Linked DNA regions of Canis lupus familiaris. The protein of the gene in region 1 purifies or fractionates together with the protein of each later gene. This does not show direct contact. Links are inferred from orthologs where the notes say so. Each region holds a gene or a part of one and is shown in the gene's direction. Other genes may lie near its edges.

Region 1 (3,924 bases):
TATGACCAGCACAGGTAGCCTTTCTCGCCCACGCCGTTTTAAGCATCAGAGCACTCCCCCCCCCCACCCCGGCTAGCCTCGACTGGTACCCAGGTTTGCACATGGAATGAACCACCAAAATTCTGTAGCGTCCCAGAGATCCTGGAATCCTCAGCCTTCCCCACTCCCCTTGGAAGTCTGGATGGTTCCATAAGGTCTGTGCGCGCTTCCGTGAACTATTCCTAAGAAACCCAACATAAAACCCCAGGTTCTGGTTGCATATTTAACCGAAAACAGCGTCATCTAGTTTGCCCTCAGCAAATAACTCTCAACTCCAAGCCTTGAACTCCAGGAAACCCACGCTGGTTAGGTTAACTACCCCTCCCTCCCCCTCCGCCCAATTCATTCTGTATCTCTCAGAGATAATTGCTCTGACGTACTTTAAAATAACGTGTACGCGTCTGCCTCCCCAACTGACCACATTAATGCAAACTCTAAACGCTGGGTGCTGCTTTGATAAAATGAAGAAATCACTCATAAAAATAGCAGCCCACGTAGCCTGGCCATATATGGAGCTGGTGAGGGCTGACAGGGATGCCCCTTCGGAGCCGCTTCCTTAGAAAAAGCGAATTGCAGCTGAAATCCCCTCGACTACCTCCCCCACTTCTACTCTTCTGCCTTCCCCTCCCCTTCTATGACTCAACCAAAGACAACTCAGCAGGGGGAGGGGAAATTCTATATAATCGCATATATGTCGCAGATATGACACAATATAGGCACACACAGATAACATATATACATACACACACACAAAGAATATCAGAAAACTAGTCGCGAGATAAATGTATTTGCCCGACACCGGGTGTTAAGATGGAGTCATAAGAATCGCCTCATTCAGGTGTTTATAAAAGACTGAAATACAAAGGTTTGCAGGAAAGCGCACAGGGAGCTGAGTCAAGCGGTCCGCACAACTCGGCTCCGCCCCTCCCACCGCCCACCTCCCACCTCCATCCTCCCCCCGCGCTCCCCGCGGCACACTTCCTCCCCGCCCCTCCTGGAGAGGGCTATTAAAAGCTGCTGACGTCAAAAGGGACGGCCATCTTTGATGAGGGCAGAGCTCACGTTGCATTGAAGACGAAACCTCGGAGAGGTCAGGCGCTGTCTCTCCTTCCCTCCCGGCTTGGCGGCTCCTCCACACTTGCACCCTGCGAGGGGCCAGGCGAACACCACCCTCTGCAGAAGCCAAGGTAAGGAGCCTCCACCTCAGGTCGTGGTTCTGGTTTTGGATGGCTGCATACCCAGAGGGGACCACAGCCGAGGAGACCAAGTGAGCGTGGGCAAATACAAGTATTTGTGCACCTAGGGTGCGGTATGCCGTGTGTGCGCGTCGGGATAGCTCCGGTCTAGGGGCTTTATAAAGTATTTTCGAGGTGAGCCGCCTGGGGAAGGGAGGAATGGGGACACTGCAGATGGAGCGATGGGGAGGAAGCGCAAGGATACATGCCGAATAATAACTTACTCTTTCGAAACAGTAGTGGGACTCTCTTCCATTTTGCGATGCAGTTTTCAGAGATGTTTAGGCTGCTGGTTTTTTGATTTTTTTTTTCCCCCGGTAGACCAAAACAAACTCTGTCGTTCTGACCCTGTTATTTTGACTATTGTCGTTCAGGCGCTATTATCCAGCGAAGAATTAGGGAGAAGGCAGGTCGTGGGCGCTGGGGAGGCGAGAGAAGGGGGAGTTCCCGCCCCGGGCAAGCCGAGCTGCAGCAGCGGCAGCAGCCTCCATGCCCCGCGGACTTGATTTATGCCGCCTGCTCCCCGTCGACTGCAGGCTGGCGGGAGGCGGGCGGGTCATGCTGTGTGGGAGGGCTCTGCGGAGGGCTGGCGGGGGTGGGCTCGCCTCGGGGACTGCGGCGGCCCGCAGTCAGCACCCTGGACAGCGATGCCCAGGCCCCTCGCGGGCGCCCGCGACCTTTCAGCACCGCGGAGAGCGGCCCGGCAGCCTCGCCGCATCTACCTGCCGCAGAGCTGCCTGGCCAGAGCTGCCGGTCAGGGCTGGAGGCCAAATTGCCTCTCTGAGACCTCGGTCTCACAGAGAGACTCCCTGATAGAGAAGACGTAGTAGGTTAACAATTTTAAAAAAGAAAAAAATAAATCCTGCCGTAGGACTGCTTTGCAGGCAATTACCTGCTCCCATCCTCAGCTCCCGCATAGCTTAAAAAAGAAATAAGTCTACTTATAGACTTCTCATGTTGCCCTCGTCCCTTTTTCTTAAGTAGAAAGTAAACACATTTTTAAGAAAAATCTGCTTCATCCTCCAGTCAGATATCAAGGGTTTTGTTTGGTTTTGTTTTTAACACAGAGTATATTTGTCTGCAGACCTTGGGTGGGCATGAATGAGGTATATATGAAGATACCAAAATGATCTGTTTACAGGAGTAATATATTTCTGTATATATTTCTATTTGATATATATATATATATATATATATATATATATATATAGTTAAACTAAGCAGAATCAACTTTAAGAATGAAGCCCTCTTCTTCCTTCTCTCCCATCCTTGTAATTAGGCATGTACATAAGCACACACTCACAAAAATACATCTCAGAAATATTACAGGTCCTACAAGGTATAGATTTAATCTCTTTTGCCATGGTTTCAGAGGGAGTGGAAGTGTTTCCTATGAACATTGGTTATCTCAGGCCGATAGTTTCTGATCTGGACATTATTAAGACTGGTTTTCCTCAAAATCCAACTATGTCCTTCAGGGTCATGCAGGTGTTAGACTGAAACTGGACTCTGACCTAAAGATCTACTGCAATTTCTATTACGGCACTGCGGGATTTTGCTGAGACAGTGATAAGTACTTTAATCATTTTCTACTCTGAGCCTTGGGGCCTCTGAGTGAACAAAAATTACCAAGGAATATTTCCTGTTGTTTGATATAACTAAAATTGTCATAAAATACCAGGCGCAAAACTGTACTATTTGAATAGTTGTTAAATAAGAGTAACAGCGTCATATGTAGGAATCTATGCAACGCATTAAAAGAAACACTGTCATGATCTTTTGAAAAGCCTCACATTAAGATCTTGGATTGTTTTTGTTAGTCATAACTCCAATGATTTCTATACTAGAGCTGCTAAAATGGTCCTGTCCATATAGAGGAGGTACTTTCATTCCTAGCTATTTATTTCCTAATGTTTTTCAATTTTATGGATAACCTATGTGTTTCCATATAAGTACATATTTATCTGTTACTGTATATGGGTGTAAAATTAATATTCAGGGCTATGTAACTCCATGGAAGAATTTTATAACCTTGCAATCCGCAAACGAAATAAACAACTGTGTTTTAGTGATAGGAGGAGGGGAGAAAAGATGGGTAGGAGTCTTTAAAAATGCTTTGACTTCATGCTGCATGTCCAGACAGCTCTGCGTAGTTGCGTCAAAAAAAAAAAAAAAAATCCTAACGGTGCCAGAATTACGTGCTTGGACATTAGTAATTACTGCTGGGTTTGTTTGCTAGTGGAAGACTGGGGGAAATGGGGGTTAGGGGGGTGGAGGTAGAAGACTGCAGTGAAGCTGGCAAAGGGTAAAGATCTGGAAAGAAGTGGCAATGTGCACAATTACGGAGCTAATTCTAGAACAGCTTACTGAGAAATTAAAGAAAAACATAATTGAAGCATGAATTTAACATTCATGTTATTGAATGTTAAATTTTTCGGGAAAAAATGAAGAGATTTTCTATTTTAAATTTTAAACATCCAGGGCAATACGGCAAGAAGAGGCAGGAGCAGATGGACATAAGGATGTGCCAGGAAACATTCACGTAGATCCTCTGATGGTACCTGCTTGTTTGTGCATTGGCATTTTCTGCATTATCACTTCGGCATTCAGAATACGAAACAATTTATAATCTTAACCTCTCCATGGTAAA
Region 2 (3,529 bases), on another chromosome or scaffold:
AGAGTCACTTAGAGATTTATTTTCCAGATACTCAGCTGTTCTCCCTCATTCATCAACTGTTATTTTAGGCTCTGTGAAATTCCTATTTTTCTAGGCTAGAAATGGACGAATAGCCATAAGTTTTTTTTTCTTAAGATTTTATTTATTTATTCCTGAGAGAGACACACACACACAGAGAGGCAGAGACACAGGCAGAGGGAGAAGGAGGCTCCATGTAGGGAGCCCAATGTGGGACTCGATGGATTAAATCTGGCTGTTGATGGTTGATTTCAGCCTCTAGCCCTCTGATAACAGAGGCTTTCCAAAAGACTTGTTCTTTAACTTCAAGTGTGGTTGAACAGGATTTGTTAGAAGCACCAAAAGATAGTTTCCTTTCTTTTACCACTTAGGAAACTTCAAGGAATTTAGGATCTTTGCTCCAGGAGTGGGATGAAGACTAAATATAATTATTTATTTTTGAGAGAGAGAGAACCAGGAAGAGAGCACGAGCGGGTTGGGGGTGGGGGCAGAGGGAGAGGGAGAAGCTGACTCCTTGCTGAGTAGGGAACTCTATGTGAGGCTTGAACCTAGGACCCTAGGATCATAACCCAGGCCAAAGGCAGATGCTTAATTGATCGACCCACTCAGGCGCCCTGTATATTTCTTATAAATCCCAGTTTCACATGCATGTTACATCCAAGCTGGGCTGTTTGCTCTTTTTTTTTTTTTTTTTTTTTTTTTGGCTGTTTGCTCTTTAACTCAATCATCTGCTTGTTTATATGGCTTCTCTTTTGCTGTAAGGTATACCTCAAGTTGTACCTCTCCTGCAAGCCTTCCTGTGCACACTTTCCTTTACCATTTACCAGTCACTTCTATATAATGACTTTTCTTATTTATCTTGTTGTGTACTGACTCCACCCCTGTTAGTCAGCAAGCAACTCCTCCTATTATGTTAGTCAGCAAGCAACTAGTAGACTGTCCTGATTCCAGCAGACTCTTAGTGGGTAATTGATGTGCTGGTAAGCTCTTGCCAAGTTATGGTTGGGAAGCTGTGGCTTTCAAGGCATTGTTTTTATCCTAGCCTTCTAAGAGGCAGTGTATTTCAATTGCAAGAGCAAGTGCTTTAGAGATACTCTGGCTGCAATGCTTAGTTTCTTCACTGACAAGGGTTGTGACTAGACAGGTAGATAACCTTCCTGAGTGTTATTATCCTCAAAGATACTTGACTTCGTAGAGTGGCTGGTTAATGTAACTATCAAAGAGGCATAGTAATGTAATGAAAACATCATGAACTTTTCATTCTGAGCTCTGCCACTTGCTAGCTTTGAGACCTTGGGATAAGTCATCAAACTTTTCTGAGCCCCAGTTTTCTCTTATTTATTTATTTTTTTTAAGATTTTATTTATTTATGAGAGACACAGAGAGGGAGAGAGGCAGAGACACAGGCAGAGGGAAAGCAGGCGCCATGTGGGAGCCTGACATGGGACTCGATCCTGAGGTCTCCAGGATCACACCCTGGGCTGAAGGCTGCGCTAAACTGCTGAGCCACCAGGGCTGCCCCCCAGTTTTCTCTTGTGTATGATGGGGATAATATATGTCTCATTGTGTTGTCATGAGGACCAACTAATGATTAGTAATAGCTGACACTTAGGAAGTGCTTATTGCACAGTTCTAAGAACTTTAAATATATCAATTTATTTAGTGCTTCTGCGCTTTAGTATGAGATAGGTACTGTCATTGTCCACATTTTAGAGGGGGCAACCCAGAGAGTTTCTTAACCTAAGATGGTACAACAGGACGGTGGAAGATTAACTTCACACAGCAAGACTCTGGATCCTCTCTACTAGGCTCCAAAAGTCTGTGTTTAATTACCTACCTGGTATAGTTCTTAGCACATAATAGGCATTTAGTAGCTATTAATTAACTTTATTTTCATTTTCAGTTTATGGAGAAAGGGTGATTTATAAGCCTTAGAAACATCTGTGTTATGTTTACAGCCAAAATTTTAGCTAAGTAGAAGGAATTGAATTGTCTAACGTGTTGCTTAATGTTAATTGTTTTTTGTGTTCTTTAGGCTGATATTTTGGATGTCAATCAAATATTTAAAGATTTGGCCATGATGATCCATGATCAAGGTGATCTAATTGGTATGTATATCGTTGATACTTTTAACCTCAAGGTGAGTTGATAGTTGGTACTGAAGAAGTACCAACTTCTTGGTGTGAAGAAGTCAGTAAGACATGTCTTAGGAATTTAGGAATGCCATTTAAAAATTATAAAATTCATTTTTTAGTCCCCTTTTTATATTGTCAAATATAGACACTAGTGACATGGGCATGATTACTCAGCTCACTTGCCATAGCCTCTTTTTAGGTCTTTGGCTGTTTAGGGAAATAGCTGTTGTCTTCCCAGCTTTTATCTCCGGAAACTTGCACAATTTTGGGATTAGTAACCTTTTTTTTCTAAGCTTTTTATTTGGAAATGATTTCAAGGTTAGAAAAGTTACAAAAATAGACTACAAGGAATTCCTTAAAACCTTTACCCAGATTTACCTCTTAACATTCTACCCTCATTTGGTTTAGATTTGCCCTCTATATTTCTCCAAATATACATGTGTATACATAATTTTTCCTGAACCATTTTGTGGTGAGTTGCCTACTTCATAATCCTTTATTCCCAAAGAACAGAGTTATTCTCTTACCCGGTTAGTAATTTTGATTACATGGCTGGCTAGTTGGAATGGTGGTGGTGAAACCAGGACCAATGACATAAGGAGTATGTTTAATTTACAATCTTGAAACATCAGTTATGATAAAAAATATCCACTGCCCTTCTTTGTTTTTTGCAGACAGCATAGAAGCCAATGTGGAAAGCTCAGAGGTACATGTAGAGAGAGCCACGGATCAGTTACAGCGAGCTGCTTACTATCAGGTAAAAGCACTTACCAAAGAAAGTCACTGTGCTGTATACTTCATGAGCTGTCACATCTCATTGACACATTGAGAGCAGCTGCAGCCTTTTGCTTAGGCTAAAGCTGGAGGCAGGTGGTCATAATTGCACTCCAGTCCATTTTTAATATTTTCTTCAGAGAGATCTACAAAAAGATATCAGTCCTTGAATAAATTTACAGAGAAGTCTCAGCTACAAAGCTAACCCCGTAAGCTGGCATAGTACCTAAATCTGGTAGAAGGCTAATTTTATATTCTTAACAGCTAAAATTTGTTTCAATTAGTATAGGAATAGGTACAAAGTATGACTTTGCAGGTACTTTATGTTGACTACAGCCATAGAGGATAGACATAAAATCAATTCCAACTGCTATTGTGAATAAATAGGGAGTTATCCTGTGGAGGTTATTTTTCTATGAATAAATGGAAGTTAATTGTTCTATGTTGTAAGAAGTGATATTCTTTTACATATTAGATGAAACTCTGGTTTTATGACCCTTACTTGGGTCTTTATCTCAAGTATTGCAAATATTGTGAATGCGGTCCTTTTCATTTCCCATCTCTTTGGTGCTATATGGCTTTTTAGAAATAAGCAGCATTTC

What was found.
Region 2: the proteins of SNAP25 (region 1) and STX12 purify together in Homo sapiens (co-immunoprecipitation; 3 studies listed by BioGRID and IntAct, with this or other methods). This does not show direct contact. The link is inferred for Canis lupus familiaris from reciprocal best matches to the Homo sapiens genes SNAP25 and STX12.

What each region holds. Positions count from the first base shown.
Region 1 is NC_049245.1:12,539,648-12,543,571, reverse strand, and holds the start of SNAP25 (synaptosomal-associated protein 25), read left to right. Parts: upstream 1-1,062; 5' UTR 1,063-1,226; intron 1,227-1,367; exon of another isoform or gene 1,368-1,409; intron 1,410-1,498; exon of another isoform or gene 1,499-1,794; intron 1,795-3,924.
Region 2 is NC_049223.1:71,943,791-71,947,319, reverse strand, and holds part of STX12 (syntaxin-12), read left to right. Parts: intron 1-2,053; coding exon 2,054-2,126; intron 2,127-2,827; coding exon 2,828-2,910; intron 2,911-3,529. UniProt on the Homo sapiens protein: SNARE promoting fusion of transport vesicles with target membranes. Together with SNARE STX6, promotes movement of vesicles from endosomes to the cell membrane, and may therefore function in the endocytic recycling pathway.